4 linked regions of the Anolis sagrei genome follow. The protein of the gene in region 4 interacts with the protein of the main gene of each other region in a pairwise test. Links are inferred from orthologs where the notes say so. Each region holds a gene or a part of one and is shown on either strand. Other genes may lie near its edges. The genes, in order: SFR1, SMC2, SPTBN1 and TRAF3IP1.

What was found.
Region 1: the proteins of TRAF3IP1 (region 4) and SFR1 interact in a two-hybrid assay, tested with the Homo sapiens proteins (2 studies listed by BioGRID and IntAct). The link is inferred for Anolis sagrei from reciprocal best matches to the Homo sapiens genes TRAF3IP1 and SFR1.
Region 2: the proteins of TRAF3IP1 (region 4) and SMC2 interact in a two-hybrid assay, tested with the Homo sapiens proteins (2 studies listed by BioGRID and IntAct). The link is inferred for Anolis sagrei from reciprocal best matches to the Homo sapiens genes TRAF3IP1 and SMC2.
Region 3: the proteins of TRAF3IP1 (region 4) and SPTBN1 interact in a two-hybrid assay, tested with the Homo sapiens proteins (2 studies listed by BioGRID and IntAct). The link is inferred for Anolis sagrei from reciprocal best matches to the Homo sapiens genes TRAF3IP1 and SPTBN1.

What each region holds. Positions count from the first base shown.
Region 1 is NC_090023.1:213,234,718-213,242,365, reverse strand, and holds the start of SFR1 (swi5-dependent recombination DNA repair protein 1 homolog), read left to right. Parts: upstream 1-4,150; 5' UTR 4,151-4,252; intron 4,253-4,460; exon of another isoform or gene 4,461-4,662; intron 4,663-4,715; exon of another isoform or gene 4,716-4,966; intron 4,967-5,510; 5' UTR 5,511-5,552; coding exon 5,553-5,642; intron 5,643-7,370; coding exon 7,371-7,648. UniProt on the Homo sapiens protein: Component of the SWI5-SFR1 complex, a complex required for double-strand break repair via homologous recombination. Acts as a transcriptional modulator for ESR1.
Region 2 is NC_090022.1:206,333,356-206,341,055, forward strand, and holds the start of SMC2 (structural maintenance of chromosomes protein 2), read left to right. Parts: upstream 1-4,207; 5' UTR 4,208-4,341; intron 4,342-6,825; 5' UTR 6,826-6,858; coding exon 6,859-7,026; intron 7,027-7,700. UniProt on the Homo sapiens protein: Central component of the condensin complex, a complex required for conversion of interphase chromatin into mitotic-like condense chromosomes.
Region 3 is NC_090021.1:17,026,496-17,034,787, reverse strand, and holds the start of SPTBN1 (spectrin beta chain, non-erythrocytic 1), read left to right. Parts: upstream 1-4,791; 5' UTR 4,792-5,187; intron 5,188-7,290; exon of another isoform or gene 7,291-7,392; intron 7,393-8,292. UniProt on the Homo sapiens protein: Fodrin, which seems to be involved in secretion, interacts with calmodulin in a calcium-dependent manner and is thus candidate for the calcium-dependent movement of the cytoskeleton at the membrane.
Region 4 is NC_090021.1:161,923,210-161,930,823, reverse strand, and holds the start of TRAF3IP1 (TRAF3-interacting protein 1), read right to left. Parts: upstream 3,276-7,614; 5' UTR 3,173-3,275; coding exon 3,050-3,172; intron 1,858-3,049; exon of another isoform or gene 1,782-1,857; coding exon of another isoform or gene 1,668-1,781; intron 1-1,667.

The sequences.
Region 1 (7,648 bases), on a different chromosome or scaffold from region 4:
TGTGGGGGAAGATTAACTCTTTCATTGAGTTGTTATAGGTTTTTCGGGCTGTATGGCCATGTTCTAGAAGTATTATCTCCTGATGTTTCACCAGCATCTATGGCAGGCACCCTCAGAGGTTGTGAGGTCTGTTGAAAACTAGAAAAATTGGGTTTATATATCTGTGGAAAGTCCCGGGTGGGAGAAAGAACTCTTGTCTGTTGGAGCTAGATGGGAATGTTTTAATTGGCCACCTTGATTAGCATTTGATGGCCTGACAGTTTTCTAGGTGTATTACTGCCTGGGGGAATCCTTTGTTTAGGGGTTATTAGCTGTCCCTGATTGTTTCTTGTCTGGAGTTCCTCTGAGTGTTGTTTTTTATTTACTGTTACAATTTTAGTGTTTTTTAATACTAGTAGCCAGATTTTGTTCATTTTCATGGTTTCTTCCTTTCTGTTGATATTGTCCACATGTTTGTGGATTTCAATGGCTTCTCTGTGTAGCCTGACATGGTAGTTGTTAACTCTTTCATTCCCCAACAAAGTACAAACAAACTCATCCAAATGCTCGTACCAGAACATACGTTTTAAAAGTACTTTGGCTTGTACTTGTAACTTCTGCTGGCAGATCCCTGAAAAGTTGGAAGCATAAATAATGGCTATTTTTACTGCATCAGTCTTCTGTCTCCACAGTCGGTAATGTCAACAATGCTGGGAACGTTGCCATTTCTCTCAATTTCTGTTTCCTTTTTTGGTTAATATATGGCAAATGATATAAAGTGTTCTTTATTCTTCTTTGCCAAAGAGTGCTATTAATTCATCAAAAGACACCTCCCATGATTCCATTGCATGGAGGTATGACAGTTTAAGTGGTGTCAAAGTGCATTAATTCTGGAGTGTAGATGCACCCTTAGAGCAGCCTTGGGGATGACAGAATAGATTCTATCTCCCTTGAGAAGTGCTGGCACAATATTCTTACAGGGGGGGGGGGAGGATGGATGGTGCTATGCTTATTCAGTTCTTATTGTACGTTATCTTTGCTAAATGAAGTAGCAGCCTTACTTTGCTTAACAGTAGGGCTGGCTTTATTAAGTAGCTACATATGATGAAGAAGAAGCATCATATACAATAGCTTCCATCTAGTACTTACGTTTGGCTCTTTAAATAGATTAAAAAGACAAATGTTCAAACATGTCAGAGGTGAAATGTCCAGGCTGTATTGGTCATATTTATAAACTAAACATGGGGAATGTATTGTTGTAGGCTTTCATGGCCGAAATCATTGGGGTGTTGTAGGTTTTCCAGGCTGTATGTCCATGTTCCAGAAGCATTCTCTCCTGATGTTTCACCCACATCTATGGCAGGCATCCTCAGAGGTTGTGAGGTCTGTTGGAAAATAGGCAAGTGGGGTTTATATATCTGTGGAATGTCCAGGGTGGGAGAAAGAACTCTTGTCTGTTTCAGGTAGGTTTGAATGTAGCAATTGGCCATCTTGATTAGCTCTGAATGGCTGAAAAGCAGTTTATGTGAAACATGGGAAAGTTGTTGTTGGACTCAGGTGCCATAATTTCCAAGCATTCAGGGATGATGGGACTTGCACTCCGACACCTATAAGGCCTCAGGAACCCCAACCCTGCAAAGAATCTGTGTTTTTTGCTAAAGCAACCAGGAAAGGTTTACAGTGAGTAGGAATGTTAACTTGTCACATTGAAGAACTTATTCTAGTCATATCTGTTATTCCACCTTGAATATATCTTTATAGGTTGTTGTATATCTTTATGATTTCTTCTAAGTTGCAAAATCCTCATCCTCCTGCCATTTTTTTTATAAAGACTTTTGCACTGAAGCCTATCATCAATGAAAGCTGCAAAGACTCCTTTGTGCCACCTTCTGCAGAAGAATCACAAAGCCCTGATACAAAGGGAAACCTACAGCCTTGCTGTTTATGTACCTTTAATTCAGTGGTTCTTAAAGCATGCTCCTTGGGGCTCCATGAAGCATGCCGAGGGACTCTGCAATGGCCCCTTGGGTTTCTGCTGCTGTTATTGTTGTTACAAAGCCTGAATGACCATCCCTCGGGGAATTATTTGATTGTGCGTTTCCTGCATGGCAGGAGGTTAGACTGAATGACCCCTATTATTATTATTATTATTATTATTATTATTATTATTATTGAGGTTGAGTAGCCATTAGGGCTGGGCGGTTTCGTTTCGTTAATTCATAATTCGTTAATAATTCGTTAATTTTTCCAATTACAAAACGATAACGAACCATTCTGGAGCAATTTTTTAAAAAAACGAATTTTTAAACACGTTTTGTAAATGCTTCGTATTTTGTTATTGTGTTCGTTTCGTTATTGTTCTGAGGTCGTTTCGTTATTATTTCCGCATGTCTGGGGCAAGTTTTTTGTTTAATTAGTGAAAAAAAATTATAATATCACACCAACAGTCAACAACAGAGGGAGAGGGAAGCTTCAGAAGTTTTTGGAGGTTTTTTAGCGTATTTCGCGGTCGCGTCCGCCATTAACGAATCGATTCGTTATTGATTCGGAAATCGATTCGTTAATGTTTTGTAATTTTTTTCACATTTACGAAATTTCGTAAATATCAAACTTTTTAAAAGGAAAATTTTGTAATTATTTTAAATATCGAAACAAAAAAGCCCCCAAATACAAATCGATTTTAGAAACAAATTTTTCCGTTGTTACCCAGGCCTAGTAGCCATCTGTTGGGGGTGCTTTGTGCTTTTCTTCCATGGCAGAAAGGGATTGAACTAGATGGTCTCCTGGGGCTGCTTCTATTATTATTATTATTATTATTATTATTATTGAGGTTGGGTGGCCATCTGTTGGGGGTGCTTTGATTGTGCTTTCCTGCATGGCAGAAGGGGGTTGGACTATATGGCCCCGGGATTGCTTCTATTATTATCATTATTATTATTATTATTATCATTGAGTCTGGGTGTACTCTTATTACAATGATGATAATTATGATAACAAAGGCTGGGTGGACATCTATTGGGGGGTGCTTTGATTGTGCTTTTCCTGCACGGCAGAAGGAGGTTGAACTAGATGGCCCCTGGGGTTGCTTCTATTATTATTATTATTATTATTATTATTATTGAGGCTGGGTGGCCATCTGTTGGGGGTGCTTTGATTGTGATTTCCCTGCATGGCAGAAGGGGCTTAGACTAGATTGCCCTGGGGTTGCTTCTATTATTATTATTATTATTATTATTATTGAGTGGATGTACTATTATTACAATGATGATAATTATGATTACAAAGACTGGGTGGCCATCTATTGGGGGGGGGGGGGTGCTTTGATTGTGCTTTTCTTCCATGGCAGAAGGGGGTTGTACTAGATGGCCCCTGGGGTTGCTTCTATTGTTGTTGTTGTTGTTGTTGTTATCATAAAGGCTGGGTGGCTATCTGTTGGGGGTGCTTTGATTGTGATTTCCCTGCATGGCAGAAGGGGCTTGGACTACAATGCCCTGGGATTGCTTCTATTATTATTATTATTATTATTATTATTATTATTATTATTATTATGTGGGTGTACTATTATTACAATGATGATAATTATGATTACAAAGGCTGGGTGGCCAGCTATGGGGTGTGTGTGTGTGTGTGTGCTTTGATTGTGCTTTTCTTCTATGGCAGAAGGGGGTTGAACTAGATGGCCCCTGCGGTTGCTTCTATTATTATTATTATTATTATTATTATTAATAACAATAATAATAATATTGAGAAGGCTGGGTGGCCATCTGTTGAGGGTGCTTTGATTGTGCTTTCCCTGCATGGCAGAAGAGGGTTGGACTAGATGGCCCCTGGGGTTGCTTCTATTATTATTATTATCATCATCATTAATATTATTATTATTGAGACTGGGTGGCCATCTGTTGGGGGAGTTTTGATTACGCTTTTCCTGTATGGCAAAAGTTTATGTTGGCCAAAAAGTTTGCCCATACCTGATATATTTAGATAGATAGGTAGATAGATAGATAGAAAAGCGGCTGGGGGGGGGGGGGAGGAAAGGGGCCTGAGGCTGCTAGGAATTGTGGGAGTTGAAGTCCAGAACACCTGGAGGGAGGGCCCAAGTTCGCCCAGGCCTGCCTTACAGTATAGACATCTCTTCTTCCAGCCTCCTTTCCCTCCCCCGCCCTTTTCAGATCGCACTGCGCAGGCGCACACCGATCCGCGTTGAAAGATCGCGAGAAGAGATTTCGGTCGGCTTCCCCGGCGGCGGGAGTTTGGGAGAGATTTGGCTTCTGAGGTAATAAGAAGAGACGGAGGAAAGGAACGAGGGACCCTTTGGTTCACGGCTAATGGACATTGTAGTACGACAGAAGGCCTTGGGGTGCATCTACATCACGCCTGGCCAAGCTTCGGCCCTTCAGGTGTTTTGGACTTCAACTCCCACAATTCCTAACAGCCGGTAGGCTGTTAGGAATTGTGGGAGTTGAAGTCCAAAACACCTGAAGGGCCGAAGCTTGGCCAGGTCTGATCAACACTGTAGAATTAATGCAGTTTGTTACCACTTCAAACTGCCACGGCTCAATGCTATAGAATCTCTATTCGTGCCTCTTCAAATTCTGCAGCACTGCTGGTCACAGCTGACCTCCAGCTGGAGCGGTCAAGGGCCAGGGCTTCCCAATTCTCAGTGTCTATGCCAGAGTTTTTAAGGTTGGCTTTGAGCCCATCTTTAAATCTCTTTTCCTGTCCACCAACATTCAGTTTTCCGTTCTTGAGTTCGGAGTAGAGCAACTGCTTTGGGAGGCGGTGGTCAGGCATCCGGACAACGTGGCTGGTCCACCGGAGCTGATGGCGGAGGACCATCGCTTCAATACTGGTGGTCTTTGCTTCTTCCAGCATTCTGACGTTTGTCCGCTTGTCTTCCCAAGAAATTTGCAGAATTTTCCGGAGGCAGCGCTGATGGAATCGTTCCAGGAGTTGCATGTGACGTCTGTAGACAGTCCACGTTTCGCAGGTGTATAGCAGTGTTGGGAGAACAATAGCTTTTATAAACACACACCTTGGTATCCCTACAGATGTCCCGGTCCTCAAACACTCTCTGATTCATTCGGAAAAATGCTGCACCCACAGAGCTCAGGCGGTGTTGTATTTCGGCGTCGATGTTGACTTTGGTGGAGAGGTGGCTGCCAAGGTAGCGGAAATGGTCAACATTTTCTAATGTTACACCATTAAGCTGTATCTCTGGCATTGGAGAGGGATTGGACGGTGATTGCGGAACAGCACTTTGGTTTTCTCAATGTTCAGTGACAGGCCGAGCTTCTCGTATGCTTCTGCAAAGGTGTTTAGAGTGGCTTGTAGATCTTCTGAATGCGCACAGACGACATTGTCATCAGCATACTGGAGTTCTAGTAACAGATGTGGTAACCTTGGTTTTGGCTTTTTCATCACCATTATTATGCTCATTGGTCGATATTCATGGTTTCTGTGCCCAGAGATTCAACCATCCATGGCTTTAAAACATGCCCACATGTAAACCTTGATTTTTTCTCTCTCTCCAGTACATTAGTCAACTCACAGCAAACCATTAGTCAGTTCTCACAATGGAAACAACTGTGTTAAATGAACCTACATCACTATGCTCCACTCCAGAAAGTAGTGGTCTGAAAAGCAGCAGCTCCTCAGAGAAACAGGTATGTTGCCTAATATTTCCAGTTCTCTTGTTAGCACAGGAGATTCAGTTAACCGGCACTCATGGGGATTGAGAGATGCTGGATAAAGGTAGTTTTTGGTTTTTTGGGAGTTTCTATTAAGAATATTCGACTTCTTTCTGTACCATAAACACTATTGGCTTGATATTAATATTAAAATATATAATTAAAAGCAAATAAAGGCAAACCATTTAATGTAATAGTTTTACAGTTTTGCTGCATTATAAAAGCCTTTTAAATTTAAAATATTATTTCTCTGTGGGTTTTTTGCCAGTTGCTTCAAGAGTTCTGGTTAACTGAATCTACTGTATTTCCAAATTGTTGTGAAGCCTGATTTTATGTAGAATTGTGCAAACCTTGGCTATACTGACAAACATAACTCCACAGTATAGTACATATGCCTATAACAGATCTATGTGTAACTAATTGGTTTCTCCAGTATTGAAAGTAACAATTATAATTAATTTGCTAAGGGATTCCTTCACTCCACTTGCAATTTATTTAGTTCCTATATATACTTGAGTTATGTCCCCGCAAATTGACAAAAAAAACAACAACCCCAAATCAAAAACCTGGTTTGATTTATATTCTGGTTAATCGCAGCATTGTTTTTGAACTGTTTGACTGCCTAGGTGCAGTGTTGTCACTAGGGCAGTGTAGAGGCCTGTGGTGGAGGTGACACCAAAAGGATGGCCACTGTGACAGCCTGTGCTGAACACATCGTGTCACTCCCAAGAACGGTCGCCTGTACCACAGTCTCCACACTGTGCCCTCCCTGTTGGGTTGCTCAGAGCAGGGAGAGGGGTGGTTTAATAATAATAATAATAATAATAATACTTTATTTGTACCCTGTTACCATCTCCCCAAGGGACTCGGTGCGGCTTACATGAGGCCAAGCCCACAATACAACATTGGAACAATAGCAACAGTAATAAAAACAATAAATAAAACTCATAAACAGAAAATAGCAATAAATATTAACAATAACACAACGACGTTTAAAAACCTATGGCAGGGTCAAATGTACTAATTAAAAATTTAAAAAATAATGCTGGCCGTGACAAGGTGACAATAAACAAGATAAAAATTTTGGAGAGGGATAGAGCGTGCAGACAATCCTAGATCACTACTAAAGTGCATTTAGGGACATATTGTTGGGAGTTTCCTTATTCTGGGAAGGCACAGTGGAACTTATTTGCAAATAAGCAAAAATGATAACCCCCCCCCCCCCCCCACGCATCCCTTGATGCTGTTGTGGCTGCTAGCGCTCCTGTGCTCACAGTCCTGTCCTGGCTTCAGTGGCAATGAAGTGCTCCTCATCTCCAGCTCCCAGGCTGTCAGTAACATTGTATAACGCAGCTTCAAGATGACTTGAAGCCACAACATGTAAATTGCTATTGCGCTCTGCAACATGTATTACAGGAGATACCTGCATAGTGGTTTGAGACTGTGTACCATTTTCAATGTCATCACTGGTTTGTTTTCAAATCCTTTGCACAGTGAAACTAGTTCCAAGCTACATTATACAGGGTTAGTCAAAATGCATAGGCCAATAAGCCATTCAATTGAATGGCTTATTGGCCTATGCATTTTGACTAACCCTGTAGTGTCAGTGTAGATATGTCCTGGTTTACTTTGCCTGATTGTTGCTGATCCCCTTTTTTACATGTTCTTTTCCTTCTTAATGCTACCTGGTTACATTCACTCTAGCCAATGAGTTCAACCCTTAGAGAACGTTTGAAGAAAGCGAGGCGGTCATTTCATTCATCTTTAATTGTACCAAAGCGTCTAAAAATAGATGAAGAAAACAACTGCAGTACTTGTAAAGAAGAGTCTTTGTCTAAAGGAGAAACATATTGTAGATCACAAAGCAAAGATGAAGACTTGGGAAAAGTTCCTGATGGAAGCAGTTGTTTGAAAAGTAGCATGCAAGAGAGAGATCTCTGTATTTCTGAATGTACTGGATATAGTAAGAATGCACGGGGTTC
Region 2 (7,700 bases), on a different chromosome or scaffold from region 4:
CAAGCTCCCAATAGGATCCTTAGAGAACAGAAAATCCCAGGTATACTGAAATATGCTAAAGAAATTGGAACAGAACTAGCTGTACCCGGCCACACGTTGCTGTGGCATATTTGTCCTGTTTACTTTGAATGTGTTTGTTTCTATGTATGTATGTATGTATTCCTGTGCTACTGTCCCTCCTCATTGCTGCATTCAATGCAGAAGGTGCCATTGTTGGTGTATCACCATTATGTAAGATGGCCGTGCCGGGTATTCCTCACAGTTTAGAGGCCGAAAACCCCCAACGAGTCATCACTTCCACTTCAGAAGAGTATAAATCATTTCAGTAGATTGTGTTAGTTATACTATAATTTTTTACCGGCTGTGATGAATTGTGTGGGGGAGGCCCGTGGCTGACTGGAAGAGAGGCCCCAAAGGAATGTCAGAAGCGTTCCCCTTGGAGAAGATGGCGGCGGTGGAGGGGGATGGGGAGGAGGGATGGATTGGGTCAGGGCGGGAAGGGACGGGGATTGGAGGGGCGTAGTTTCCTGGGAAGGGGCGTGACCGGTGGAGGAGGAGGGGCAGGAGGGAAGGATTGCGTCAGTGCGGGAAGGGGCGGGGCGGCGAAGGGAGGGGGCATTGGCGGCGGAGGAGGGAAGGATGGCATATGGGCGGGTAGGGGCGGCGGAGGGTGGGGGAGTGGTTGTGTCGGAGGGGGCGTGGGCAGGGGAGGAGGAGGAGGATGGCGTATGGGCGGGTAGGGGCGGTGGAGGGTGGGAGCGTGCCTTTCTCGGGGGGTGGGTGGCGGAGGGTGGTTGCGGGAGGGTGGTTGTGTCGGAGGGGGCATGGGCGGAGGAGGGGGAGGAGGGAAGGATGGGGTATGGGTGGGTAGGGGCGGCGAAGGGAGGGGCGTGGTTCAGCCATGTGCACGCGCCGGGCAGCTCACGCCGGGACGGCTCTGCGCATGCTGTTTGTTTCTGTGATTGTGAGTTTGTTGTAATGTTGTAACCTACAATACCAAGTATACATCCAAACTAGTATATCATGGCATAGCTTTGGAAACCATTAAGTAAAACAAATTATAGCTATCTAATGCACTTTTCTAAGTTTTGAAGAACAATTCTCACAAACTGTGTCAATTTCTTCACAGCATATAGTGGGATTTTTTGGCTTGATATTCTAGGTTATATGGGTGTTTGGAAGGGCCCTAAGGATTCCTCGAGCACCCACAGATTTTGGTATCCACAAGTCCAACAAGGACATAGTAACATCACCCTTACACAAAGTGATAAAAATCTCTACAGGCAACTCTCAAGTTAGGAAGGTAAGATTTATTGTTTATTTACAACATTTATATGCCGTCCTTCTCGCCTCAAAGGGGACTTAAGAGCGGCTTTACAAGACATATATACATACAGTACATTATATCATTAGCCTAGTACAATATCAATAGATTCTGTAGATTTGTTCTTAAGTTTAATTCATATTTAAGCCAGAACAGGTACACATTTTAAAGTGTAACTAACTGCAGTGTTTGTTTTGCTATCTGTGCCCCTGTTCAGATTTGACGTCACTTTCACTCCCTGTGATAATTTATTTTGAAAAATGTGGCTTCTTGTGGGAATAAGGATCAGAGAAAAAGCTTCTGTGGAGACCCCCTTTTCCCCTTTCAGAAGTGAATGTTCCCTTCCAAGGAGTTGATTTCTCTCACTTCCTGTTATCATGCCCTTGTTCTTAACTATGAGTTGGATGTAACTCAGATACTGCCTGTATGTTGAGTTATTTCTTAATGATTATTCCTGCAGAATACTCTGAATAAGATCCAGAAGCCTTATATCTTTTTCAGCTTATTCTTCCAAATTTGTTCTCCATATCACAACCTACACCATATCCCAAATAAAAACTGGTTATCAAGATGAAGTTTTTTGCCTCCATCACTTTGGCTGCAAGTACCTAAATCTGAATACACCCCAGAAATTAAAGATGTAGTAAAAGATTTTGTAACTGGATTCATTTTTCCTCCGTGATTGCCATCTAATTTCCAGATTTATTACTTAACTTCCAAACTCTCCTTACTTCAATTTAATTTTCACTTTATTTGTACTCTTATAAATAAAACAGCTCCCCAAGATCTGGTTATTGTTCTCAGAAGAAATTGGGAATAAGCCAGTAAAATAGACCTTTTTTACATCTAAAGGAGGGGGGGGGGGAACCCCACAAACAGCTACATGCAAAATTGACACAAAAAGCTAAAATTGAGATAAACATCTTGAGATAAAAGCCATTTCGTTAGTTTCTGACGCAATGGCAGCTCCTACTCCATTTTCTTTCTACTGGAGTACATGGCATTTCACACCCAGGATAAAAAGTGGTGCAGCTGTTATCTGAAATCACTACATAAATTGTTTATAGAATATATAAATTAATAGTATGGAAAATGACCAAAGCACCTATATAAACAATGCCTATATAGTAGCTTGCCTCTATAAATAGCGCCTATATCAGTGTTGCACAACCTTCCTAATTCACTGAGACTTTTTTTTTCAGTGTTCTCTTGGAAATACTGGTTTGCAGATAGACATCTCAGACACACCACCAATTAACTAATTTGCACTGATAAAATGAGTATTTTTTTAGGTTTCCAAACAATGCAAGCTTTTATTTCCTTTAGGATCAGTGTTTCTCAACCTTCCTAATGCCATGATCCCTTAATACAGTCCCTCTCATGTTGTGGTGACCACCAACCATAAAATTATTTTCATTGTTACTTCATAACTGTAATTTTGCTACTGTTCTTAATGGTCATGTAAATATCGGATATGCAGGATGTATTATCATTCACTGGACCAAATTTGGCACAAATACCTGACGTGCCCAAATTTGAATACTAGTGGGGTTGGGAGGGTTGAACAGACCTCACTACCTCTGAGAATGCCTCTAGACCACGGGTCCTCAAACTTTTTAAACAGAGGGCCTGGTCACAGTCCCTTCAAAGTGTTGGAGGGCCAGATTATAATGTGGAAGAAAAAAAAACCATGAATGAATTCCTATGAACACTGCACATATCTTATTTGTAGTGCAAAAACACTTTAAAACACTACAATAATTAAAATGAAGAACAATTTTAAAAATATAAATTTATTAGTATTTCAATGGGAAGTGTGGGCCTGCTTTTGGCTGATGAGATAGGATTGTTGTTGTGTGCTTTCAAGTCATTACAGACTAAGCAAGGGCCAGGTAAATGACCTTGGAGGGCCGCATTTGGCCCTCGGGCCTTAGTTTGAGCACCCCTGATCTAGACCATGGCCATATAGCCTGAAAAAACCTACAACAAACCCAGGGTTGATTTTGTCATTTGTGAGCTGTAGTTGCTGGGACTTGTAATAGTTAACCTACAATCACACCAGCACTTTTTAACTCTTGTACCCATTACTCTGGCCCGGCCCAGTTTTATTGCGTCTTAGTCCATTGTTTATTACTTGTTGTTTAGTTTGCTTAACTGTTTTTAATTTGCCTTAGGTTTGTATTGTTGTATTGTGTGTTGAGGCCTTGGCTTTTGTAAGCCGCATCGAGTCCTTTGGGAGATGCTAGCGGGGTACAAATAAAGTTTAATAATAATAATTCTGAACTCCGTTAGACAATCTTCTTTTCCTGCTTTCCTAAAACTAAATTGTTCTCACACTTTCGATGTATTCTTGGTTTTCTTTCTTCCCTCTATTGCTTTCTTTTGGAACTTTCTATTTCTATAAATTATAACAATAACAATATTTCAATAAAAAAAGAAAACTGCGTTTTTATGGTCTTCAGCGACCCCTCTGATACCCCCCTCACAACCCCTCGACCCCCAGGTTGAGAAACACTGGCCTATATAGTAGTTATCCCAGATAAACAACGCCTATTTGGTAGCTAGCCTTATAAATAATGCCTCTATGACAGCTAGCCTAGATAAAGAACGCCTGTATGGTAGCTAGCCTGTGAAAAAAATGCCTCCACAGCAGCTAACCTCCACCACCAACCTCCCTCCCGCTCCCTTCCCTCCGCACAAAATGGGCGCCGCCACGCCGTGCACCCGCTTTTATAGCAAACGCTGAAGCCGTGACGTCAGCCAACGGTTCGGCCCTCGCGCTCCAAGCCTTTCTTTCCTCTCTGATTCACAACCCAAGAAAGGGGCGGGGCGAGAGGCTTTCGGTGACGTTAGTACGGCCTCGAGAACGCCTGGAGAGAAGGGGGAAATAAAATCAGGCGGCACGATAGGCAGCTATGTCGGGAGCGTTTGAGCGACAGAGAGGAAGGGGTCCTCTTTCGCCCGCGCCAAAATTCAAGTTGAGGAAGAAGGCGTAGAAGAAGCAGGGCGGGAGAGAGGTGAGAAGCAGACCTTCTATTCAATGCTAGGCAGGATAGTGGGGTATGTGTACAGCTCACTGTTCAAACATATAAGCCCGAAAGCTCTTGGCCTCAGTCTCCCATGGCTTGCTCGCTGTAAGGAACAGAAACAAAAAGAGATACAAGAGAGGCATTGTGTCCAATTCTGGGCACCACAATTGAAGAGAGATATTGACAAGCTGGAATGTGTCCAGAGGAGGGCGACTCAAATGATCAAGGGTCTGGAGAACAAGCCCTATGAGGAGCGGCTTAAGGAGCTGGGCATGTTTAGCCTTCAGAAGAGAAGGCGGAGAGGAGACATGATGAGGGCCATGTATAAGTATTTGAGAGGAAGTCATAGGGAGGAGGGAGCAAGCTTGTTTTCTGCTGCCCTGGAGACTAGGATGCGGAACAGTGGCTTCAAACTACAAGAAAGGAGATTCCATCTGAAAATTAGGAAGTACTTCCTGACTGTGAGAGCTGTTCAGCAGTGGAACTCTCTGCCCTGGAGTGTGGTAGAGGCTCCTTCTGTCGTAGCTTTTAAACAGGCTGGATGGCCATCTGTCAGGGGTGCTTTGAATGCGATTTTCCTGCTTCTTGGCAGAGGATTGAACTGCAAGGCCCATGAAGTCTCTTCCAACTCTATGATTCTATTTGGAGTGCACTTTCTGCGCCCACCACCCAAATGTTGACATTCTTCTGCTTCATTCACGCTTGCATCCTGCACACACTCATCACATTATGGGTAGTGTTTGCTTATTTTTTTAAATTCGTTTTTCTCCCCCCATATAAGGACTACAGGTGGCTAAAAATACAAAGCAGTACTAATTAAAAACAATGTAAATGCCTTCATACATATATATATATACATATATATATATTTACTTAGCTGATCCCTCGTTGTTCGAGTAGGATAATCCTCCAGGGTGAGTCCGTAGGTGACTATCGAGCCCTATTCTTGATCTGCATCGTCTCCCGCAGTGAGGGCATATATATATTCTGTAAAAAATAAACCCTTTTTGTTATTAAATATATTAAAATGTATCCAAACGTTGTCCCCACCTTAAACTCTCAGTGCAATTGCTTTTGAAAAACCTGCCTCTCACAATTTATATAGGGATCCCATTCAGCTGCAGTTCTCTGAGGCATTTTTGCAAACCATCCTTTCTAAACATGGTTTTTGATCATGAAATTACTATGTTTTTAGTCCTGCTACTTGTGGTTGGACACTAATAATAATACTAACTCTGGCACAAGCCAGTAAAGGTGGTCCCAGTGGTGATCGGCACACTGGGTGCAGTGCCTAAAGACCTTCGCCTGTACTTAAACACAATCGATGCTGACAAAATTACCATCTGTCAGCTGCAAAAGGCCACCCTACTTGGATCTGCACACATTATTCGCCAATACATCACACAGTCCTTGACACTTGGGAAGTGTCCAGCGTGTGATCCAGTAGAACAGCAAGCATAGTGATTTTCTTTGCTGTGTACTAATCTTGTTGTGTTTATAGTAATAATAATAATAATAGAAGAACTTTATTGATACCCCACCCTATTTCTCAGAAGGAACACAGGGCAGTTTACAACAGATATCAGCAGACATTCAGTTCCTTGAGAATCTTAACAAAGACAAAAATAACCAACCCCCAATCCCAAAAACAAATCCACATCTATATCTAAAATAATAATACACTACGCTGCAATTATACTAGTAATATATGTAACACGTTGCATACAATTATATTATTAGTATACTACAATATATAAAATACACTACTAGTACACAATACTGAGTGTGATCACAGGTTACAAGGCTAGGAAAAAGTTAAAACTTGTTTTTTTCAGCAGGCCTTCAACAACATTTTGATAGTAGCCAGACTGATACCCAAGTATTCTAGCATTTTATATCCACATTTGATTGGTTTACAGCTTGGATCCTAAACTGATTGTATGGACAATTTAATCAACAGCTATTACTGATTTTATTTGCTTGTGTTAATTGTATATGTATATGTTTATGAAAATGTTTTATCGATCTTAATGTTGATGTATTGCATTTTATGTTTGGTATGGCACCAGTGGGTGCTATTTTGTGAGCTGCTTTGAGTCCTTATGGGAGATGGTGGCGGGGTTTAAGCTAAAGTCTTAATTAAAGCTTCTAAGGTGACTGCCAGCATCTTGAACTGAACTTGGGCTTCATACCATAAATATTCATAGCCCAGTACAGAAGTGACAGTCTTTTAACAGAACTCGGTGGTTTATTTGTATCCCCCTTTGCTTGACTTGACATGTAGAACTTTTGCTGTACATGATTTCTTGTAAAAGAGGGTCCAGTGAGTTCAGTAATGCTTACTCTCAAATTATTGATCACAGTATTTGCTGCATCTGCCCTTTGCTTGAATGTGTACACTGCAATTTTTTGAAGCATGACTTTTTTAAAACCATAAAAATGCAGAGTGCCCATACTTTTTTCCATACATAGATCTGCTTGGAATTTACAAGAAGACCAGTTGAAATGTACATCAAATCAATTGTCCTTGAGGGATTCAAGTCTTATGCTCAAAGAACAGAGGTTAATGACTTTGACCCATTGTTCAATGCCATTACTGGTTTAAATGGAAGTGGCAAGTCGAATATCCTGGACTCCATCTGTTTTTTATTGGGCATCACCAATTTATCACAGGTAAGTATATATTTTATATATCTCCCACTTCTTCACCCTTCTCCTATTTATTTATTTATTTTTATTTGCTATATTTATATACTGCCGTTTCTCAGCCTAGCCGGCGACTCAACGCGGTTTACAACATAATATAACAATCAACAATATACAGTTAAAAGCATAAAAAACATAAAAAACATAAAAACACAATTCATACATCAATACCAATCCAGTTCGACTCTTAACTAAAAACGTGATCCAGTTCGTCATCCATATTGCCAGTCCTTTAGTCAGTTACCATTCGTTGCATTGGGTTAACCAAATGCCTGCTTAAACATCCAGGTCTTCAATCTTCTTCGGAATATCATCAATATATCCAGCAATATATCCTTGCTGACCGAAAGGATAGCGGTTAGAATCCGGGGAGGGGGTGAGCTCCTGCTGTTAGCTGCAGCTTCAGCCCACCTAGCAGCTCGAAAGCATGCAAATATGAGTTGGAGGCGTCTGTGGACAGCACCAGCTCTTCGGCTTAGAAATTGAGATGAGCACCACCCTCCAGAGTTGGACACAACTAGAATTAATGTCAGGGAAAACCTTTACCTTTACTTATTTATACTCCACCTTTTCTCTCCACAAGGAGACTCAAAGCAGCTTTCAAAGAGCATCACCTGTAGAGGAGGAGTAACTTTGCTCAG
Region 3 (8,292 bases), about 140 Mb from region 4:
GATATTCCTCTTTTAAGAAAAAAAGACCTCTGGCAGTGTTGTAGAGAAAAGTTGGTGTGTGTTTTCCATCTGAACCCACACTGATAGGATTCGAACACCCACATGAGGTTTTTTTTTTCAAGTTTTAAGAATGTTTTGTGCCTTTTTGTACCTTGATTATATTATTAATCTGTATTGCTACCCTTATCTAACATCTGCATCTGATAAAACAGATTGGATAAAACAGAGTTTATGATACACACTTCTTACTTTCAATTTCAAAGATGCTGCAAGATAGTTATATATACTATATAAGTTAATCCAGCTACATATTTGTACCTGGGTCTCTATTCTGTTTCTCTTCTGACTTCTAACAAGGTCATACCTTTCCAAACATCATAAAATAACTAAAAGGTTATGCGGATTTCCATTTTCCAAAATGATATGGACAGAGCTTTGCTTTTTGGTGGTTTAATGCAAACAAACTTTGGTACATGCACAAAATTATTAAAAAGATAGAATAAGAATATTAATACATCTTGACAGAAGATGGAGGAGTTGGGAGGGATGGGCGACAGAGTTCACGTGTGAAGTCAAGGACAGCTGTAAGAGATGATGACGGGGTCAGATCATCATCGGATGATGAGCTGTAAGATAAAAGTAGGCTTTGAAATGGGGAATCTGCAGAAGGCGAAGTGTTGGTTTCGTACCTTGGGTTTTGTCGCTGCCATTTTTGTGTTAGGTTTGGGCCCTGGATCTGCAGGTTGCTGCTTCCGTTCGTGTGTGTTTCAACTCGGCTTAGATTCTCGTGAGTGCAGATTTCCCCTTCTTTGACTTCAGACTGGTTTCGACTACAACGCTGCCTACGTGGACTTTGGAACCTCGCAACTTCGGACTTGGCTTACTTTGACCTCGGACTTCGTTTGACTATGTCTCCTTCTTTGCAACTCTTTGTTTGTTCACCCTTTACTTGCTGTGTTATTTTGTGTGACTTTTGAAGCGCTTTAGTTTAATCCGGATCTTTTCTCCAGATAATCCGGATTATTGCTTCAGTTTACTTTTTGAACTGGAACTGGTTACTACTTTTGAGTTTTGATCAGGGACACTGAATTAAGTGTCTCTGAGTCCCTTTTGCTTTGTGTTAATAAACTCTACTTTTGGACATACTCTTGAGTCTGGCTCTTTAAGGCATCTGGGTTCCGACAGGGAAGAACTCAAGATTTTGGGCAACAACAACAACAATAATAAATGCAAATACTCCAAGCATTTCGTGTAAGGAATACTCAATCTGCAATAATAATATCCAGATAATGACGACTGTGATTAAGAAAATGAAAGTTAGATGGTAGGTGTGGCAATACCAAGAAACAACAGAATCAAAAGCAAAAGCAAAGCTTGCTCTTTGGAACTATATTGGGAATATTTTCAAGCTGTGGTTGGTTGAATCCATGTGTACAGAATCAGTGGATAGGAAGAGTCAGCTGTATTAGCCTAACGGGCTGAGAATGGCGGTTAATAAGTGCATCAAATAAATAAATAAATAAATATTAGGAAATATTGAGAATTAGAAATGAGATTCAACACCTCTGGGAAAAGGAAATAACTGCAGTTCTAGTAGTGACAGGTGCTCTGAGAGCAGTTCCAAATGAACTGACAAAATATCTGGAGGTAATTGCCATGGGCAGGATCACAGTGGAAGAAATTCGAAAAATGACTGCTTGAAACATGTCACTTTATCCAATACTTCCCTGGAGAGAAGTCAAATCATTGACAGTAAAAGAAACATTGGTAAAACCTGGTTACCTGTAAAATAGCAGTAACAACCACTCGTAGACATATAAGCAAAATGTAAGGTACAGGTAAATGTTTCCCCTTGACATTAAGTCCAATTGTGTCCAACTCTGGGGGTTGGTGCTCACCTCCATTTCTAAGCCAAAGAGCTGGCATTGTCCGTAGACACCTCCAAGGTCATGTGGCCCGCATGACTACATGGAGTGCCGTTACCTTCCTGCAGAAGAGGTACCTATTGATCTTCTCACATTTGCAATTTTCGAACTGTTTGGATGGCAGAAGCAGGAGCTAATAGCAGGAGCTCACCCCGCTCACCAGATTTGAACCGGCGACCTTTCGGTCAGCAAGTTCAGCAGCTCAGCAGTTTAACTCACTGCGCCACAAGGGGCTCCAATGAAATATTTTATTGTATTTTAATATATTTTGGAGTACTGACATCAAAAAGCACAATAGAAACATTGAAACACACACAACTCTTTCACATTTTCAACATTTTAAGGAATTCAGGGGATACTCAGTTTTGATTCAGTGTGGATGCTGATGTTCCAGTGCAATTTCTTTTAATGCTTTTGAATAGATTGTTGTGTTGCCTATCATAGAATCATAGAGTTGGAATGGACCTCATGGGCCATCCAGTCCAACCCCCTGCCAAGAAGCAGGAACACCGGGATTGTGGCTCAGCTGGCTGAGTGTCAGCTGCATTAAGATCACTCTGACCAAAGGTCATGAGTTCGAGGCCAGCCCGGGCTGGAGTGGGTGTCCAGCCATTGTGTAGCCCGTTGTCGACCTTTGCAACCCGAAAGACAGTTGCATCTGTCAAGTAGGAAAATAAGGCACCACCTTGTGTGGGAGGCTAAATTTAACTAATTTATGAGGCCATAAAGAAAACTCCGGGGAATGTGGAATGCGGAAGAACTTCATCGGTGTCGTTGATGGACGATGAAAAGCAGCAGTTCCCCTGGCGGCCAGAAAAAAGTTAAATAGCCTTGGTGTATTTGTCTGTATTTGTTGTCTGTCAAACTGGCATTGAATGTTTGCCATATATGTATTTACTGTAATCCGCCCTGAGTCCCCTGCGGGGTGAGAAGGGCGGAATATAAGAACTGTAAATAAATAAATAAATAAATATTGCATTCAAAGCACCCCTGACAGATGGCCATCCAGCCTCTGTTTAAAAGCCTCCAAAGAAGGAGCCTCCACCACACTCTGGGGCAGAGAGTTCCACTGCTGAACGGCTCTCACAATCAGGAAGTCCTTCCTCATGTTCAGATGGAATCTCCTTTCTTGTAGTTTGAAGCCATTGTTCCGTGTCCTAGTCTCCATGGAAGCAGAAAGGAAGCTTGCTCCCTCCTCCCTGTGGCTTCCTCTCACATGGACTATCATGTCTCCTCTCAGCCTTCTCTTCTGCAGGCTAAACATGCCCAGCTCTTTAAGCCGCTCCTCATAGGGCTTGTTCTCCAGACCCTTGATCATTTTAGTTGCCCTCCTCTGGACACATTCCAGCTTGTCAATATCTCTCTTGAATTGTGGTGCCCAGAATTGGACACAATATTATTATTATTATTATTATTATTATTATATTCCAGGTGTGGTCTAACCAAAGCAGAATAGAGGGGTAGCATTACTTCCCTGGACCTAGACCAGGGGTCCTCAAAGTCGCCGGAAGGCTGAGAGAGGAAGTATACAAATATAGTAAGTAAATAAATAGAATATTGAAGGAGAAGGAGAAGAGGAGGAGGAGAAGAGGAGGAGGAGAAGAAAAAGAAGAGGAGGAGGAGGAGAAGAGGAAGAGGAGGTGAGGGGGAGGAGAGGAGGAAGAGGAGGAGAAGAAGAAGAGGAGGAGGTTGAGGAGGAGAAGAAGAAGAAGAGGAGGAGGAGGAGGTTGAGGAGGAGGAGGAGAAGAAGAAGAGGAGGAGGAGGTTGAGGAGGAGGAGAAGAAGAGGAGGAGGAGGTTGAGGAGGAGGAGGAGAAGAGGAGGAGAGGAGGAAGAGGAGGAGAAGAAGAAGAAGAGGAGGAGGTGGAGGGGAAGGAAAAGAAAAGGAGGAGGAGAAGAAGGAGGAGAGGAGGAGGAGAAGAAGAAGAAGAGGAGGAGGTTGAGGAGGAGAAGAAGAAGAGGAGGAGGTTGAGGAGGAGGAGAAGAAGAGGAGGAGGAGGAGGAGGAGGAGAAGAGGAGGAAGAGGAGGAGGAGAAGAAGAAGAGGAGGAGGTGGAGGGGAAGGAGAAGAAAAGGAGGAGGAGGAGAAAGAGGAGAGGAGGAGGAGGAGAAGAAGAAGAGGAGGAGGAGGTTGAGGAGGAGAAGAAGAAGAGGAGGAGGAGGTTGAGGAGGAGGAGAGGAGGAGGAGGAGAGGAGGAGGAGGAGAAGGAGAAGAAGAGGAGGAGGAGCAGAAGAAGAGGAGGAGGAGAAGAGGAGGAGGAGGAGGAGAAAAAGAAGAGAAGGAGAAGAGGAGGAGAAGAAAAAGAAGAAGAGAAGGAGAAGAAGAGGAAGAGGAGAAGGAGAAGAGGAGAAGAAGTATAGGAGGAGGTTGAGGAGGAGGAGGGGGAGAGAAGGAGAAGAAGAGGAGGAGAAGGAGAAGAGGAGAAGGAGAAGAAGAAAAAGAAGAGGAGGACTAGAGGAGGAGGAGGAGAAGAGGAGGAGAAGAAGAAGAGAAGAGGAGGAGGAGAAGAAAAAGAAGAGGAGAAGGAGAAGAAGAAAAAGAAGGAGGAGAAGAAGAAGAGGAGGAGGAGGAGGTGGAGGAGGAGAAGAAGAGAAGGAGAAGAAGAGGAGGAGGAGATTCAGCTTCAGCTCCTTCCCTTCCCTTCCCTTTTCCCTTCAGGAGCCTTGTGTGTGTGTGCGCGCGCGCGCGCGCCTTCCTCAGCGACCGACGTGCGCGCGCTCGCTTGCCTGCCCGCCTGCCTTTATATTATTATTTATTTTTTGTGAGCGCGCGCCGTGGCTCTTCTCTTGCACTTCCCGCCCCTTTTCTCTCTCTCTCTCTCTCTTTCTCTCTCTATTGCCCATTTGGCCGCTCGCTCCAACCAGTGCAGCTGTTGCTGTGCTGGTGGGCATCGGAGGGAGGCAGGGAAGGAGGCGGGCAGATAGGCCGGGCTCTGGCGGAGCTGCTTGCTTGTGCTGCGGATTCCTGGAGTCCCTCCCTTTTCCCCTCCATCCATCCTCCCTCCCTCCCTCCCGCCCTTCCTCCGCTTGGTGCCCCCTCCCTCCGCATTGCCATCCCTCTCTGCTCGCCGCTGCTGTCCTTTTTCCCCCTCCTCCTTTTCCTCCTCTTCTTCCTCTCCTCTCTCTTTGGCGGACCCCCCTCGGTCCCTTGGCCGGCTCCTGCCTTCCTCCCACGGCCGAGGAAAGGCAGCTCGAAGGCCAGGGAGAGAGAGAGAGAGAGAGAGAGAGAGAGCCTCCTGAATCATCGACGCCACCGAGAGAGAGGTAAGCCGCGGAGCCTGAGCCGGGGTGGTAGGGCAAGGAAGGGGAAAGGCTGCAGGAGGAGGAGGAGGAGGTGGAGTGGCCCTGCCTTGGCACCCCAGGAGAGGGTGACCCTCCTGGAGGGACCTGTCACTCTCTCCTTGAGGAAGGAGGAAGGAGGAGGAGACACTCTGCAATCCCAATTCTCTCTCTGCTGTTTTGTCTCCTTGCCATTGGCATGCAGGCTAGTCCATGCAGAGAGTGGCAAGACAACAACAACTGCTAGGCAGACCTCGCCCCTCCAAACCCAATCCCACTCTCTTCTTATGATTGGTATTATGTGTGTGCGTGTGTTTGTCTTGAGAAACTGCAAATCACTCCTGGTATAGAGAGAATTGGCCATCTGCAAGGACGTTGGCCAGGGGATGTTTTGCGGTTTTACCATCCTTGTGGGAGGCTTTTCTCATGGCCCCGCACAGGGAGGTGGAGCTGACAGAGGGAACTCATCCACACTCATGTCCCCGCATTGGGAGATGGAGGTGACTAAGGGAGCTCATCCACACTCATGTCCCTGCATGGGGAGCTTGAGATAACAGAGGGAGATCATCCACACTCATGTCCCCGCATGGGGAGACTCATGTCCCCACATGGGGAGCTGGAGCCAACAGAGGGAGCTCATCCACACTCATGTCCTCGCATGGGGAGCTGGAGCTGACAGAGCCAGCTCATCCGCACTCATGTCCCCGCATGGGGAGCTGGAGCTGATTGAGGGAGCTCATCCGCACTCATGTCCCCGCATGGGGAGCTGGAGCTGACACTCATCTGCACTCATGTCCCCACATGGGGAGCTGGAGCTGACAGAGGGAGCTCATCCGCATTCATGTCCCCGCATGGGGAGCTGGAGCTGACACTCATCTGCACTCATGTCCCCGCATGGGGAGCTGGAGCTGACAGAGGGAGCTCATTCGCACTCATGTCCCTGCATGGGGAGCTGGAGCTGACAGAGGGAGCTCATCTGCACTCATGTCCCCGCATGGGGAGCTGGAGCTGACAGAAAGAGCTCATACACACTCTCCCCAGATTCGAACCTCTGACCTGTCGGTCTTCAGTCCTGCCAGCACCCGTTGTACCACCGTGGGGCTCCTATATTATGTGTTGTTGAAGGCTTTCATGGCCAGATTCCGGGGTTCAGTGTGAGTATTCCAGGCTGTTGACCATGTTCCAGAAGCATTCTCTCCTGATGTTTCTCCCACATCTAGGCGAGGCGCCCTCAGAGGTTGTGAGAGGATCTGAGACCTCACCAACTCTGAGAATGCCTGCCACAGATGTGGGCAGGAGAGAATGCTTCTGGAACATGATGGCCATACAGCCTGGAAAACTCACAGCAAACCAACAGTAACAATAATGGGTTGCTGTGAGTTTTCCAGGCTGTATGGCCAATGTTCCAGAAGCATTCTCTCCTGACATTTCTCCCACAACTATGGCAGGCACCTTCAGAGGTGGTGAGGTCTGTTGGAAACTTGGCAAGTGAGGTTGATATATCTGTGTATGGCCAATTGCAACATTCACACTTGCCTCAAACAGACAAGAGTCCTTTCTCCCACCCTGGACATTATTCCACAGATATATAAACCCCATTTTCCTAGTTTCCAGCAGACCCCACAACCTCTGAGGCAGGTGAAACATCAGAAGACAATGCTTCTGGAATATGGCCATACAGCCCAGAAAACTCACAGCGAGCAACCCAGTGATTCCGGCCATGAAAGCCTTCCACAAGACATTGTTATTGGGATTGGATTACCCGCCTCCTCCTCCTCACAGGATGAAGAAGTGGTCCCCTGACCAGGGAAAGGATGAAGGAATCCCATTGACAGGCACTCACACACCAGGAAGCATTGAACCTGAACCTGGAAGGGTGCTGGCTTGGATGAGGATGGAAGGAGGGATGGAAGGATGGGGAAATAAAAGAGGTGATGGAGGCCCGGCTTTGGGGAGCCCCCTGATGCAGAGTGCCACCCCATAAGCAGCCCCACAAGGGGTTAGGCTCTCCTCAAAGCCCAACCAGGCGTGGTCGCTGCTCTCCTCCCATGCCTCTCTCTCTCCCCACCCTTTTTGGCTCCCCCCCTTCCTCCCTCCTTTTGCACCCAGTTGCTTTTGGAGGAGAGTCGGGTCCAGGTTGCTCTCCCTCTCCCCAGTTCTCCTCGCTCCCCTCTTTTCCGACATCAACAGGTTTGTGCAAATGGATGCACTTGGGAGAGGGAGGGAGAGGGAAGGGAGGGAGGGAAGAGAGATTAGGCTTTGCAGTCCTGTGCCTGGGTGTTATCCCCCCCCCCCCCTCATCCCCTGAGAACAACAATAGCGGCTTTGCTTCTCAATCAAGAGATGAAAGTGAATTGTCATCCTCATCCTCCTCATCTGTGCTTTTAATAGACACTATTATTTAATAATAATTAAATCAAATTATTATTTATAATAATAGAATCCTCCTCCTCATCTGTGACTTTTAATAGATATTATCATTTAATAATTAAAATAATAATTTTAAAATAATAATTGTAAATAATAATAATAATATTATTTACAATTATTATTTTTAAATTATTATTTTAATTATTAAATCATAATATAATATTATAATATTATTATTTACAATAACATTAGTATCTGTCATCTGTGCCTTTAATAGTTATTATCATTTAATAAATAAATTAGCAATTAGACTAAACTATTATTATTTACAATAATATTAGTATCATCTTCATCATCTGTGCTTTTAATAGATATTATTTAATAATTAATAATTGGATTGAATCATTATTATTTACAATAATATTAATATCACACTCATCATCTGTGCTTTTAATAGATGTTATTGTTTAATAATTAAATTAATAATTAGATTAAACTATTATTATTTACAATAATATTAGTATCATCATCATCTGTGCTTTTAATAAATATTATATGTTAATAATTAAATTAATAATTAAACTATTATTATTTACAATAATATTAGTATCATCATCATCATGTGTGCTTTTAATAGATATTATCTTTTAATAATTAAATTAATAATTAGATTAAAGTATTATTATTTACAATAATATTAGTATCATCTTCGTCATCTGT
Region 4 (7,614 bases):
CTGGGAGTTGTAGTTACTGGGATTTATAGTTCACCTACAATCAAAGAGCATTCTGAACCCCATGAACGACAGAATCGGGGCAAACTTCCCACACAGAACCCCCATGACCAACAGAAAATACTTAAGGCCATCCAGTCGAACTCCCTTCACCAAGACAAGAAAACGTAATCAAAGCCCTCCTGACAAAGAGCCATCCAGCCATAGAGATAGATAGATAGATATGATTCTCTCTCTCACACACAGATATAGTATCATAGATTTGAAAGGGACCCCTAGAGAAGGACAATGATATGTCACATGTAGGCAAACCAGATAACCATCACATTAACACTGACAAAGAAACAGCAAGAAATAGTGTTTACCCACAAGTATAAAGAAATTACATATATTAGAAACCAACACTTTCGAATTACTTTATTTTCCAGATCACCAGACTGGGCCACAGCAACGTATGGCAGGGTGCTACCAGTATGCAGACAATACCCAGCTACTCTTGCGTCTCGAACCTGGGACAACCGCGATTCCTGAGAACTTTAGGCTGTGTTTGGAAGCAGTGATGAGTTGGCTGCGAGCGAGCAGACTAAAAGTGAATCCTGCAAAAACTGAGATACTCTGGCCCGGCCAGCCGCCAGAATTAATCCAGTCTCTGCCTGGTTTCGATGGGGAAGCTCTGGTTCCGTCTGCCACTGTTTAAAGCCTTGGGGTTGTGTTGGACTCATCGCTGACGATGGAGGCCCAGATCACTGCCATAAGTAAGCAGGCCTTTTTTCATCTTCGCCAGGCAAGGAAATTGGCATCCTACCTTTTGGTAGAAGCATTGGCAACGGTAATCCACGCAACAGTCACCACGAGGTTGGACTATTGCAACGCCTTATATGCCAGCCTTCCAAAGTCAACAACCCGGAAGATTTGGATGGTCCAAAATGCAGCGGCCAGGCTGCTAGCGGGATCATCTATAAGTTCCCATATTACACCGATTCTGCAACAACTGCATTGGCTACCAATAGAACATCGGATCTCTTACAAGATACCGATCCTGACATTTAGAGCTCAAAATGGCCAAGGACCTTTATATCTTAGGGACCGCCTCAATCCTTTTCTCCATCAGTGGTCACCTCGATCCACCCAGAAAAATCTCCTATACACAGAGGCGGCCCTAGGTAATTTTCAACCGTAAGCAAACAGTACTTTGCCCCCCCCCCCAACCCATCACTGATATATATTGTCTGTTCGTCATGAGAGTTCTGTGTGCCATATTTGGTTCAATTCCATCATTGGTGGAGTTCAGAATGCTCTTTGATTGTAGGTGAACTATACCTCCCAGTAACTACAACTCGCATATGTCATGGTCTATTTTCCCCCAAGAGCGCCTCAAGAGCGCCCCTGGGCAAAATCAACTATACTGCAAATGCTTACTTTGCGTAATGGGTTGAGCCACCCCTGCCTATACATACCGGGCCCTAGGGAGGTACACCTGGAAGCTACAAGGCATTGAGCTTTTTCAACCTATACTCCAATTCTGTGGAACTCATTGTCTCCATACATTAGAGCAATGTCAGAGTTGCGACCTTTTGTAAAGGCACTCAAGACTTGGCTGTTTGGTTGTGCCAACGCCAGAGATACAACTTAATGGTGTAGCATTAGAAAATGTTGACCATTTCCGCTACCTTGGCAGCCACCTCTCCACCAAAGTCAACATCGACACCGAAATACAACACCGCCTGAGCTCTGCGAGTGCAGCATTTTCCCAAATGAAGCAGAGTGTTTGAGGACTGGGACATCCGTAGGGATACCAAGGTGCTTGTCTATAAAGCTATTGTCCTCTCAGCCCAGCTCTATGCCTGCGAAACGTGGACTGTCTACAGACGTCACATGCAACTCCTGGAACGATTCCTTCAGCGCTGCCTCCGGAAAATCCTGCAAATATCTTGGGAAGACAAGCGGACAAACGTCAGCATGCTGGAAGAAGCAAAGACCACCAGCATTGAAGCGATGGTCCTCTGCCATCAACTCCGCTGGACCGGCCACGTTGTCCGGATGCCTGACCACCGTCTCCCAAAGCAGTTGCTCTACTCTGAACTTAAGAACAGAAAACGGAATGTTGGTGGTCAGGAAAAGAGATTTAAAGATGGCCTCAAAGCCAACCTTAAAATCTCTGGCATAGACACTGAGAACTGGGAAGCCCTGGCCCTTGACCGCTCCAGCTGGAGGTCAGCTGTGACCAGCAGTGCTGCAGAATTCGAGGAAGCACAAGTGGAGGGTGAAAGAGAGAAATGTGCCAGGAGGAAGGCACGTCAAGCCAACCATGACCGGGACCACCTTCCACCTGGAAACCAATGCCTTCACTGTGGGAGAAAATGCAGGTCAAGAATAGGGCTCCACAGCCACCTACAAACCCATAAAAATAGTCATCAAGGAAGACCATCTTACTCGTCCAATGAGGGATCGCCTAAGTAAGTAAGTAAGTGTGCATTTCAGTAATCAGATCTAATTTGCCAAATAGTCACTGTTGAATGTTGTTATGTTGAATGTTTTTATATTGTGTAACTGCTATTTTAGATTGTAAGTTGCTCGGAGCACCTTGGTGGAGAGCGACTAATTAAGAAATAAAGTGAAGTGAAGTATCAAATAATAATAGAACCCGACAGCAAATAAACAACCATTGCTAAAATACATAGTTAGACAATCTGTAATTAAAACGGGTCAATAATTAAAAGGGGTCACAGAAACCTGTCTTGGACAAAAAGGGGTCATGAGTGGAGAAGGTTTATGAGGCCCTGGCCCAATCATGAACAGTGATTGTGAACAACAAACTCTTATCTATTTCTACACTAGTGACGACCCAAGAGCGTTTTCATAACCATCTCCACTGCTCCACTGCATGGAGACTGTGGGCACTCCTCTTCCTGGCTTGCAGTCCCAACGCCTGCATTCTGTGAGGGCCAAGGCCTCCCTCTGGTCGCCTAGCAACGGGGCACGCGCGCAGCCCCCCTCCCCTCGCGCCCCTTCCCTCCCTCCCTCCCTCCCTCCCTCCCTCCTCGGGCCTGACCTCCCCGATCACGTCGTGCAGGTAGCGGAAGGGGGGCTTGCTGAGGAGGCGCTCCGTGAGGGGCGGCTTCCGTATCACTCGACCCAGCAGCTCCTGCGTCCGCCGCACCATGGAGCCCTGCATGGCGGCGCCCCGACTGCCCGGACCGGACCAGGCCCCTCGCAAACTCCCGGCGCGCCCCGCGCCCGCCCGCCTGCCTTCCTTCCTCCGCCGCCGTTGCTACCCAACTCCGCCAGCCTAGCAACCGGGCGGCGCGCGGTCCGCCCCGCCTCCTCGCCCTCCCGATTGGACGCAGGGGGAGGGAAATGGTGACGTCATGGACGGCTCCGCCCTCTCGCATTCTCTAGGCCTCTGTCAACAGGGCCATCGCTTTTGGAGAGTCTCCCTTGACCGGCGCCCACGGGGACTGCCAGGTGCAGCAGGGTACACGGAGTTTTATTTTTCTGGTTATTTAATGTTTCTTTTGCTTAAGTGATATTTGTCTTTACTGTTTTAATGTAGAACAAATCCTATGTAAAATCATACCACGTATTTTTGACATTAATATTGAAATCTGAAATATAGACTTCTAGTTGCTGGAGGGTTGCCATTACAAACAGGCCTTCGATTGTGGTTTCGAAGGCTTTCATGGCTGCCTTGCTGTGAGTTTTCCCAGAAGCATTCTCTCCTGACGTTTCACCTACATCTATGGCAGGCATCCTCAGAGGTTGTGGGTCTGTTGGAAACTAGGAAAGCGAAGTTTATTTATCTGTGCAATAATGTCCAGGGTGGGAGAAAGAACACTTGTCTGTTGCAGGCAAGTGTGAATGAGTTGTAGATTTTTTCGGGCTATATGGCCATGTTCTTCTAGAGGCATTCTCTCCTGACTTTTCGCCTGCATCTAGGGCAAGCAGCTTCAGAGGTAGTGAGGTCTGTGGGAACTAGGAAAAGGGTGGGGCAAAGGACTCTTGTCTGTTGGAACTAGGTGTGAATGTTCCAACTGATCACCTTGATTAGCATTTGATGGCCTGGCAGTGCCTGGGGCAATCTTTTGTTGAGAGGTGATTAGATGTTCCAGATTGTTGAGAGGTGATTAGATGTCCCAGTTGCACCCATACCTTGGGAAGTCTGATCTGGCCATGGTGGTCTACGCTCTTGTTACATCCCGCATAGATTACTGCAACGCACTCTACGTGGGGTTGCCTTTGAAGACTGTTCGGAAACTTCAATTAGTCCAGCGGGCGGCAGCCAGATTACTCACCAGAGTGTCATACAGGGAGCATACCGCCCCTCTGTTATGTCAGCTCCACTGGCTGCCAATCCAGTTCCGAGCACAATTCAAAGTGCTGGTCTAGACCTACAAAACCCTATATGGTTCCGGCCCAGCGTATCTGTCTGAACATATCTCCCTCTACGTCCCGCCTCGGAGTTTAAGATCTTCTGGGGAGGCCCTGCTCTCGGCCCCACCTCTATCACAAGTGAGGTTGGTGGGGACGAGGAGCAGGACCTTCTCGGTGGTGGCCCCTCACCTGTGGAATTCACTCCCCAGGGAAATTAGGTCATCAACATCCCTCCTCTCTTTTAGAAGGAAATTAAAAACATGGATATGGGACCAGGCTTTTGGGTAATCTGGCAGATAAACAAAGGACAATCGACGACTAGAATTGATAGGATTTGACAATGTGGAATGAATCTACGGACTCTGAGCTGGCGAACGTTGAGCATTAGATTGGTTTTATTGATTTTGATGTTATAATTGTTTGATTGTTTTGTTTTAAATTGCTGTTTATATATGTTTTATCTTATTGTTTGTGTTGGCATCGAATTGTGCCTTTTGTAAGCCGCCCTGAGTCCCCCCTCGGGGGTTGAGAAGGGCGGGGTAGGAATGCACGAAATAAATCAATAAATAGTTTCCCTTGTGTTGTTTTGCTGTTGTAATTCTAGAGTTTTTTTTAATACTGGTAGCCAGATTTTGTTCATTTTCATGGTTTTCCTCCTTTCTGTTGAAATTGTCCACATGCTTGTGGATTTCAGTGGCTTCTCTGAGTAGTCTAACTCTAACAACCACCATATCAGACTACTCGGAGAAGTCATGAAAGCCTTCGACAATGCAATATTGAAATCTGAAATATATACAGGAAGTCTTTACTTCTGGTTGCTTGAGGGTTGCCATTGCAAATAGGCCTTCAATTATGGTGTCGAAGGCTTTCATGTTTGGAATCACTGCCTTGCTGTGAGTTTTCCCGTCTGTATGGCCATGTTCCAGAAGCATTCTCTCCCAACGTTTCGTCTACATCTATGGCAGGCATCCTCAGAGGTTGTGGGGTCTGTTGGAAACTAGGAAAGTGATGTTTATTTATCTGTGAAATAATGTCCAGGGTGGGAGAAAGAACACTTGCCTGTTGGAGGCAAGTGTGAATGTTGCAAAGGGTCATTAAATGCTAATCAAGGTGGCTAATTGCAACATTCACACCTGCCTCAAAAAGACAAGAGTTCTTTCTCCCACCCTGGACACTAAACCACAGATATATAAACCCCCTTCCCTAGTTTCGAATAGATTCCTCAATAATAATAATAATCATCATCATCATAATAAAAACTTTATATATACCCCGCTCCATCCTCCCCAGGGGGACTCAGTTCGGCTTACACGAGGCCACGCCCATCAGTACAGTACACACAATATAACACAAAAACATAACAAAACCAAAAAATAAAATACATAAAATGCAAAACCAATATAATAAGCGACACAACAATATAAAATCAAACATTAAAACACAACAGATTTCACTGGGCAGGGCCAAATTCAAGGATAACATTTTAAAACACTGGGACATAGGACAATGTAAAACATCGGGAGGAGGATCCGGAAATGATGAAGGATTTAATTGCACTAACTTTTTTAATGCTATCATGATAAAACTTGCTCTAATTGTATCACAGTTTCCACTGTTAGCCTGCCAAGTTTAAGAACATTACACTCATTCACTAATTTTGGGGGAAATTTTGAACTTTTTACAAACAATTTTTCTTTTATAAAAACTACAAGAGCTATCTCCTGGAATTTCATATACAATGCACAAGATAACCAAGGCATTGATCCTCAGAAATTTCAGAAAGATTAACACATCTACAGATTTTGGGGGATTTTTAAAAGTTTAGACAAAAACAAATGATCCCCCCAAGAAGTGACAGCAGCAATCCCTTTGAATGTCTGCCTTTATGACACACAACCTGAGAACTTCAACTTAGCACAGCTTTATACTATTACTTACTTTAGTCCTCTTTTCAGATTCAATAATTTTATTCTCTCTCCTCTTCAACATCTACGTTAGACCCCTTGCTAGTTTGGCTCGGAGTTTCGGCCTGGACTGCTACCAATATGCAGACGATATCCAACTCCTTCTGCGCCTGGAGCCTGGAGCAACGTCAATTCCAGACAATTTCACCCTATGTCTGGAAGCTCTGTCGAACTGGCTGCGTGCTAGCAGACTGAAGGTGAACCCAGCAAAGACTGAGATTCTCTGGCATGGCCGCCCGGCAGGTCTGACTCCTCCGTTGCCCACCTTCGATGGTGCCGCCCTATCTCCTTCGCCTACCGTTAAGAGCTTGGGTGTCGTTTTGGATTCGCAGCTGACAATGGAAGCACAGGTTGCTGCTGCCAGCAAACAGGCCTTTTTCCATCTACGACAAGCGAGGCAATTGGCACCCTACCTATCTGACGAGGCTCTGGCATCCATGCCGGTCACGTCTAGGCTGGACTATTCAACGCCCTGTATGTTGGCCTTCCGATGTCTACGACCCGAAAGCTTCGTATCGTTCAGAACACGGCAGCCAGGTTACTCACAAGAAAGCCCATGAAATGCCATATAACACCAGTGCTGCAACACTTACATTGGCTTCCAACTGAGTACCGTGGCCTGTATAAGATGTTAGTTCTGACCTTTAAAATCTTTTATGGCCAGGTTCCATCGTACCTTAGGGACCACCTCTCCTTCTCCCATCATTGGAGGTCGCAACGACCAGCCCAACGTGACTTACTCTATATACCGGGTCCTAGAGAAGTGCATTTGGAAAGGACCAGGCGCAGGGCTTTTTCTATTTCTGCCCCGGACTTATGGAATTCCTTGCCGCCCTACATGAGAGCCATGCGTGACTTAGGGCCTTTTACTCTCGCACTTAAGACCTGGCTTTTTACTAGAGCATTCGATCTCTGTTAATTTTAATTTTTGTATGTATGTATTTTATCTTTTACAATTTAACTGTAAATCACTTGGAGCATTCTCGGATGGAGGGCGATTAATAAGTAATTAAATGATGATGATGATTTATTTATTTATTTATCAATTTTATATACCGCCACCCCCTGAAGGATCGGAGTGGTTTACAATATACATATACAATACATTACATTTAAAATCAAAGAAACATTTCAATGGCTAGTGCCATTGGGTCCTTCAGATGCTAAGCACTGTAGTTCGGGAAATGTAGTTTGCGCTGTACCGCAAGCACCTGGGTTCGAGTGTGTCCTCCTGAGGGTGGGGAACCGTGACAGTGTGGGGTTTCTGCTGGTGTACCGCCCA